Linked DNA regions of Mus musculus: region 2 is reported to be linked to region 1. Evidence: microRNA targets listed by miRTarBase, many of them from high-throughput screens and not tested one by one. Region 1 holds a microRNA gene; the other region holds the end of a gene's coding sequence.

Region 1 (4,251 bases):
TGTGGGTGGTCAAATGCCAGGGTGCACGTGGGGTGTGGGGCGGGAGGACTCCCGACCTACCTTGGTTTCCCTCCCACCAACCCGAGAATGGAGGGAGAGGCTTAAGCTTGGCGCGTTTTGGGGGCTTTGAATGGAGAACTCCGTTTCCCATAATGCTTTGTTTCTTTCTGTTTAATTTTGGTGGCCGCTAAGGTGTCTTGAAGACCTAAGCGCGTGGCATGACTGGCTGGAGCACACCCTGCGTTCCCAGGAGGTTCACAGATCTCTACTGGAGCCGCTGCTGAAGATGCGGGAATAGACCAGAGAAAATCCCGAAATGGTAAAAGACTGGGTCCTCTTTGCAATTTTAGAAGTTGTACAGCGACTTTCTAGTATATATGATGGAGAGCAGATGTGTTAAAGAAAGGTATTAGCTAGAAGGAGCTTTCTCTGGAGGGCTGAGGTATGGTTTTGCGAAGTTGAGTCAGGTTTTGTAATATATTTTTAGTGGAGGCAAAAATCTCTAGTTGTAGGAACCCAGTTCAAGAAGAAAAGTATAATAAGCCAATACTTGCACTATAGGAAGCAGATTTCATATTTACTTCAAAAGTTTTGCTAATTTATATTTAAAATGTTTTAAGAACTATCTTAGTCACTAAGTGGCTTCGAAAAGTTCCAACATTTAAAATATCCTTTCTCATTGAACACATTTCAAGTTTTGTGTCCCTGAAGTTTATTGGTGTCCCCCCATCAACACAAACATTCCATCATGGGAGGGAGGGAGCTCGTGACCCCTCAGACTGTCCTCTGCAGCATTTTCCTGGGTAAGATACACACTTGGAAATGAGAGAGGTTTTTCCTGTGGAAGATAATGACATGAAGCCAAAGAGCTAATCTGACTTCTTTAGGTTTAATGGAGAAAATGGGTCCATAAATGTTTAAACAGAAGTAGAGCCCTTTGAAATAGATGAAAATGTGACATCTCTAGGCCATCTGTGCGGTATGTGAAGAGTGTAAAACTGTTTCTTAAAGCGGCTCTGAAATTTCTATCATTTTCTCTTAATGGGCTGGGGGCAGGGATGCTTCATGTAATCAAACATAGAGACCTTCCGAGTGGCTCCCCAAAGCTCTGGATGAGCTCAAGACGTCAGTACTCACCCTAATGTTATTTATTTATTTTTTTGCTTACATCTTTTCCTGGGCTCTTGCCTCTTAGAAAACCATGGTGGATATTACAGCTCTGCAAATTTTCTGGGATGCGAATCTCAAATTTCCTTAGACGGAGAGGGAGTCCAAAATCCTCTTACTCTTAAGAGTCAGACATTCTGAGATTGCCAGTGTTATTCATGTTTAAGTCTGTGTAAATAATTGAGCTTATTAATGTTTGAAGTAACACAACCCCATTTGCACTCTTAACGGAAGGCAAACTTGTTTTAGAAATAGTAACTCACAGTTCACTTACTTGCTGTGTGTGTGTGTGTGTGTTTATCCAGGTGAGTCTGCAGATCTGGCAAAGAAGAGTTCGTGGAAGACTTCAAGGTTACACTCCTGGAGTATGCCTTGGCCATGTCAAAGTGCTAACAGTGCAGGTAGCTTTTTGAGTTCTACTGCAGTGCCAGCACTTCTTACATTACCATGGTGATTTAATCAGAGGCCGCTGAGTCCCCTGGTTTCTGCATAGTTAGATTGTGGATGTTTTTGAGCTGCTCCTTGTAATGTGTCTCTTGTGTTAAGGTGCATCTAGTGCTGTTAGTGAAGCAGCTTACAATCTACTGCCCTAAATGCCCCTTCTCGCACAGGCTACTTCTTACCTTGCATTTGAAAAGCATATCTTGAGAAATGATTTGAACGGCACAAGTTTCAAAGGCTCTTTCAGTGTTTCGCCGAGAAACAGATGGCGGAGACTGTAGTATACAGTTGTGTAGAAGAACAAGCTCGGATCCTAGTAGTGCCAAAGTGCTCATAGTGCAGGTAGTTTTTATACCACTCTACTGCAGTGTGAGCACTTCTAGTACTCCTGGATCAACCAAGGTCTTGTTGAAGCAACTACAGCGCAAGGACATTGCTACTTACGATTAGTTTTGCAGATTTGCAGTTCAGCGTATATGTGAATATATGGCTGTGCAAATCCATGCAAAACTGATTGTGGGAATGTGTACCTTTCTGCATCGTAATGGACACCTTTATGCACATCTTCAGCATCCATGCCCATTCATCCACAGGTGGGGATTGGTGGCATTACTTGTGTTAGATATAAAGTATTGCACTTGTCCCGGCCTGAGGAAGAAAGAGGGTTTTTAATCGTCTTTTAGTTTCTGAGTATTGTAAGTTATGTTAGACTGTAATTATGAAATGAACTGTTTTGCTGTTATCAGGTGGAACACGATGCAATTTTGGTTGGTGTAATAGGAGGAAAATTGCACGGTATCCATCTGTAAACCGCAGGACCTATGTGGACAGCCGTCTATCAGTGCTATAGTAAGATTGTAAAATCCTTTAGCTAGTCATTGCTTTGAACACATTTGGAGTGGATTTTTTTTTTTTTTTTTTGGTTTTTCAAGACAGAGTTTCTCTGTATAGCCCTGGCTGTCCTGGAACTCACTCAGGGTGGCCTCGAACTCAGAAATCTGCCTGCCTCTGCCTCCCAAGTGCTGGGATCAAAGGCGTGCGCCACCACGCCCAGCTTGGAGTCTAATTTTTTAAAACTACATATTTTTAAATATATTTGAAATCCTGACATTTTGATTGCACTGAATGTAAACAAACCTGAAATTTGCAAAATAAAGCTGATATATAAGTCTGAAAAAAAATGGGTTTCTTTTTTCTTTTTTAAAAGATTCTATTTATTTATTTATTTATTTATTTATTATATGACAAGTACACTGTAGCTGTCTCCATAGACACCAGAAGGTGGCATCAGACCCCATTCCAGATGGTTGTGAGCCACCATGTGGTTGCTGGGATTTGAACTCAGTACCGCTGGAAGAGCAGTCAGTGCTCTTAACCACTGAGCCATCTCTCCAGCCTGGGGCTCTCTTTTTTTTCTCTCTTTTTTTTTATTAGGTATTTTCCTCGTTTACATTTCCAATGCTATCCCAAAAGTCCCCCATACCCACCCACCCCCACTCCCCTACCCACCCACTCCCCCTTTTTGGCCCTGGCGTTCCCCTGTACTGGGGCATATAAAGTTTGCAAGTCCAAAGGGCCTCTCTTTCCAGTGATGGCTGACTAGGCCATCTTTTGATACATATGCAGCTAGAGACAAGAGCTCCGGGGTACTGGTTAGTTCATATTGTTGTTCCACCTATAGGGTTGCAGATCCCTTTAGCTCCTTGGGTACTTTCTCTAGCTCCTCCATTGGGGACCCTGTGATCCATCCAATAGCTGACTGTGATCATCCACTTCTGTGTTTGCTAGGCCCCAGCATAGTCTCACAAGAGACAGCTATATCTGGGTCCTTTCAGGAAAATCTTGCTAGTGTATGCAATGGTGTCAGCGTTTGGAAGCTGATTATGGGATGGATCCCTGGATATGGCAATGGCTCTCTTTTTAAATTAGCAATACTATTGGCTTTTCTAAAATAGCGTCTTGGTATGTAGCTCTGGTTAGCTTGGAACTCAATTTGTAAACTAGGCTAGCCTTGAACTTGCGGAGATCTGTGTGTTTCTGCTTCTAGAATGCTGAGATTAAAGGTAGGCACCCCTCCACTCCTAGACTTCCAGCATTTACATACATTTATCTATCTATCTATCTATCTATCTATCTATCTATCTATCTATCTATCTATCTACTTATTTAGTGTGTGTGTCATGTGGTGATTTGAGAACAACTGTAGGGAGCTAGTCATGTGGGTCATGGACATACATCTTAGATTTCTTAGGCCCGATGGCAAGTGCCCTTCCCCCACTGAGCTGAAAACAAATTTTATAGGGTATGTCTTGAAGGAACATTTGAATATAACTGGAATTTAAGTTTGCGTTGAGTCTTTGGTTTTATCACTACTGAAAACCCTGCCAGTCCCATCTCCAGAGAGTGACTGTCATCAGGTGAGCCCTCAGGATTTGCCTTTGTAACCCAGTCTCAGGTGCTGATGGTGCTCGCCCAAAGAACTATAGGTTAAAAAAAAAAAAACGCCCGGTTCTATTTTAAGTTTCAAATTCATAAAGTTGAAAGGACTCAGGCACATTTTTTACCCCACTTTCTCATTCTGTTTCATGTGTTAATGTTAACACTGCCCTGTCTTTGGTAAGTGGAAAAACTAGGTAGGTATGT
Region 2 (4,251 bases), not on the chromosome of region 1:
AGCAGCAATGGAAAAGCCTGCAACTAGGAAAAAGAAGAGTCAGGCCCCAAAGGAGGAGGCAGGTGCGCAAAAGGCCACTGTCAAGGGAGAGAAAACATCAAAGGGGAAAAAGGCAACCAAGAAGCCAAGAAAGCCCCGCAGACCCCGAAAAGAACCTGTCCTGAGCCCCGAGGACGAAGCACATATCTTTGATGCCTTCGATGCCTCGTTTAAAGATGACTTTGAGGGTGTCCCCGTGTTTGTCCCTTTTCAGAGGAAGAAGCCCTATGAGTGTGGTGAATGTGGACGGATCTTTAAACACAAGACAGATCACATTCGCCACCAGAGAGTTCACACTGGAGAGAAGCCCTTTAAGTGTGACCAGTGTGGGAAGACCTTCAGGCACAGCTCAGATGTCACCAAACATCAAAGAATTCACACCGGTGAGAAGCCCTTTAAATGTGGGGAGTGTGGAAAAGCCTTCAACTGTGGTTCTAACCTTCTAAAACACCAGAAAACGCACACTGGAGAGAAACCTTATGGCTGTGAGGAGTGTGGAAAATCCTTCGCCTACAGCTCCTGCCTCATCCGGCATCGGAAGCGTCATCCGAGGAAGAAGCACTGAGCAGGGCGGTCTACAGCTATGGATCCTTGTCAAACACCTGATGATGGTCCAGAGGTCTTACGCAGTATGCTCATCCAGCCACCCATCTGTCATTGAGAGGAAAATCTACCCATCAGACATGAGAGCCCACAGAGGCTTTCTGCCCTTCGAGTCTTCACTTAGTAGTAACATGGTGCTTCCCGGAGCTTCCTGAAGCTCCAGCCATTTTCCAGACTACTTTATGTTACTCAGGGCCATCTTTGGAACAGTTTTGGGTCGCTGAGAACTTTGTAGAGCTAAAGAGACACCCCTGTTGGCAAGGGCCACTGCCTTCCTTTGCTGCCTCTGTCTGCACCAACCACGGTGCTTTTGTCTCTTCTCTTGAAGACTTCTGACTCTGTATGCTCAGCCCCATGCTGTCTGCTAGGGCGAGGAACCCTGAGGTGGATGACAGGCAGCATTCTGACCAACTCTGAGGACAGCACCAAGTCCTGCTTGCTCATCTCTGTGCAGCTGACTTCAGTGATCCTAGAGTTTCACTCTTCTGGCTGAAACCACAGTCTTTGAGCTCAACCCTTGGGCCTAGAGCTGGGTTACACTGCTTTCTCTTGTCCCAGCCACATCGTAGACAAGTAGCCTGGATCCATCCAAAGCCTCAGCAGACCCTGGCACCCTGGCATAGTGGCAGGTTTCTTAGGCTAGGCCTTGTAGCTCCAGGGTGCCATCAGTAGCTTCTGCCCACTGCACCTTGAAAAACAACTGTGGCCCCACCCCACAGCAGCCTGCCATTCCGGTCAATTCCACTTCCTGCTGGTCAGCAGGGCAAGACCACGTGACTCTGTCTACTGTCTGCCCCACGATGATGCTGTGTGAGGTCTGTGTTCTAAAGACAGCAAGTGACTGCTGACCAGGAGGGTAAGTTGGGGGGAAAGTTGGCAGCGATTTGGACATAAAGTAACGAATAATGGCTTTGGTCTTTGGGGCGTCTGCCCTGAAGAAAGGGTCCCAGAAAGAGGACTCAGCCAGAAGTAGAGAAGGGCTTGTCAGCAGGTACAGAAACCATGAGAGGGCACTGCCCAAACGATGCAGGTGGTTATGTTCCCTGGTTGGAATGTTTGACCAGGTGTGGTAATCTGCATGGTCAACCTGACTGGATCTAGAATCACCTAGGAGACACATCAGGTGTGTCTGTGAGGGTGTTGCCAGGGAGATTTAACGGAAGAGGGAAGACCTACCTAAATGTCGGTAGCGCCATCACACAGGCTCGAGTCCTAGACTGAATTCAAAAGGAGAAAGCTGGGCCATGGAGACAGCTCAGCAGGCAAAGGCACTTGCTTCTCACAGAAGCCTGACAATTGAGTTCAGTCCTGGAACCCATGCAAAAGATGGCAATGGAGACCCAGCTCTTCAGAATTGTCCTCTGACCTCCCCCATGCTTCAGAATTGTCCTCTGACCTCCCCCCTGCCCTCCATGCAGACAGCACTAGAGACATACACAGAGGTTTAAAAAGAAAAGCCCGACATTCATCTCTCTGCTTCCCAACTGTAGTAATTTGACCAGTCGTGTCACACTCCCCACAATGATGGTCTGTATCCCTTCAAACCAGGAGCCAAAGAAACCCTTAAGTTGCTTTTTCAGACAGTTGCCACAATGACAAGGTTAGCCGTCCTCTTTCTAGAAGCTGAAACAACACTGTGTGTCTCTGGTGCCTCCTGTGGCACTGACCTGGCCAGGTTTGCTGATGCACTGTTAGGAAGTGCAAGCCGGGGCTGCTGTTGGACCAGGCTGCTTTTACTGCCCCTCCCTCCTCATGGAGCAGAACCTTCCAGGTCGAGGTTTTCCCACACTGCACTCTCCTTATGCAAGCATCCCCGGGAGTATTTTACCAGTCTTGATCCCCATGGGAGAGGAAGGCTTAATCTAATATGAAAATCTAATGAGGTGAAATTGTGAGAAGATGAGTATCAGCTGGTGTAGGAGCTACATGGCATACTTGGGCAGCATGGTCTTGGAATAGAGGGGTTACCCACAAACTCTAGGGACATTGGAAGCCTGGAATGCTGCCAGGTGGCAAGGCAGCATCCTGCTCCCAGCCTGTAGCCCTGTCCTTAAGGATGTGTGCTAAGGTTTTAGGGTACAGGATTTCAGTTCCCTCAGTATTGAGGGGAAACCAAAGACAGTATGTGTTCATATAATACACCCAGAGGGCCACAAAGGCAGAGTGTGTGTGTTCATATACACCCAGAGGGCCACTCCGCAGGGTGGCCCAGTGTCATTCCACATGAATTTTGTTCTTGTCTTTGCAGCCACACAGCCACTCACCTGTTCACATGCTGCACAGTCCTTACAGAGGGCACAGAATGAATGGGTGTGGCCGTGTCCTAACCAAATTTGGCAGAAAGAGGTGCTGCCATGACTTGTTTGCCAGCCCATTTGTTTTATTGTTTTATTTTGTTGAGATGGGGGTCTCACTCTAGCCCAGGTTGTCTTGGATCTCACTGTGTAGCCTGAATTGGCCTCACTCACAGTCCTGCCTAAGCCTGGAGTCATAGGCGTAAACTATCAAAATGGCTAAAATAGGGCAAAGTGCTCCCTCAGGTTCTCATTTTTACTTTGTTTAAGACAGGGTCTTGATGTGTAGCTCAGGCTGCTGAGAACTAACTGTGTAGCCTAGACTGACGGCCTTAAACTCTCCATGATTCTCTGCTTGAGCTTCTAGAGTACTGGGCTTTATAGGCATGCACCACCACACGTGATTCTGACCCCTATTCTTCATGAGGATGTAAGAGAGTTGGAGCCACAGAGAGCTTGCAGGCTTGGTGTGCCAAGCCCTCTGTAAGCCTAGCCCTTCCTTCAGAGCTAGAGCTAGCTGTTGGTCAGAAAGCTGGCTTAAGGACATCTGGAGCCCTGGGTGCCAGAACTAGACTGCAGCAGTTTGATGTTCCAGAAGAGTGACAATGTGGACACAGACTTTACAACAATGGAGATTAGTCAAACACAACCCAAGGCTGCCTGCATTGTCTGATTTGATTCGATTTGTGCAGTGCTCTGATAACTCTTGTCACTTTGCATGGCTGCATAAAGAGCCCTTAACTTAAAGAGAAACATAGCTGATCCCAGCTCAGCCACTTCCTAACTGAGCCACATGACCCTTTCTGGATTAAATTGCAAATAATCTATTCTTTGATGTCTTCTCTACATTCAGGATGTATGGGACAGGCTCGGACAGTGCCGTTCAATCAGATAGCCCCAGGTTGGCCCTGAGAGACACTGTGGCAGTGTCTGGGTAGCATGGTTGAGTTATCCACCCCCTCTCCCCACCCACCCACACACACACAGGTTCGTTCACAGTCACTTTTTGGCTTTTGTGGTCTTGGAGATGGAACCAGGATTTTGTGAGTGCTGGGCTGTTGCTCTGCCACTCAGCTATACCCCAGCCCAGGGTTCTTTGAGAAGAAGAATCAAGTTACTTGCATTTGGTTTGGTTTGGTTTGGATTGGTTTGTTTTGTTTTGTTTGCTTTTGAGTAGACCAGGTTGGCCTCCACTCACCAAGACCCACCTGCCTCTGCTTCCTAGGCTATGGGATTAAAGGCCCACAGCACCACACATAGCCAGAGAACCATGGTTAAAGCCAATGTCTTGACCCATGAGGAGAAAGGAGGTGGC

Evidence for each region. Region 1 holds the annotated microRNA mmu-miR-19b-3p (UGUGCAAAUCCAUGCAAAACUGA, at 2,100-2,122, shown strand). A microRNA usually pairs through its seed, bases 2 to 8, with sites in the 3' UTR of a target mRNA and lowers its output. Matches are read on the target gene's strand: a 7mer-m8 pairs with bases 2 to 8, a 7mer-A1 pairs with bases 2 to 7 and ends in A, and an 8mer does both.
Region 2: the mRNA of Zfp41 is a reported target of mmu-miR-19b-3p. The part of its 3' UTR that is shown has no 7-base or 8-base seed match.

What each region holds. Positions count from the first base shown.
Region 1 is chrX:52,739,862-52,744,112 of GRCm38, reverse strand. It overlaps Mir19b-2 (microRNA 19b-2), which reads left to right and starts at 2,047; the gene lies at 2,047-2,130. It overlaps Mir363 (microRNA 363), which reads left to right and starts at 2,346; the gene lies at 2,346-2,420. It overlaps Mir92-2 (microRNA 92-2), which reads left to right and starts at 2,185; the gene lies at 2,185-2,275. Mir20b (microRNA 20b) reads left to right here and starts at 1,921; the gene lies at 1,921-2,000. It also overlaps Mir18b, Mir106a and Kis2.
Region 2 is chr15:75,618,194-75,622,444 of GRCm38, forward strand. Zfp41 (zinc finger protein 41) reads left to right here. Exons shown (of 3, transcript NM_001044718.2): 2 at 1-1,498. The coding sequence starts at 8. The coding sequence ends at 604. Among named protein-coding and RNA genes, the nearest start is that of Zfp41, 3.6 kb to the left of the region's middle.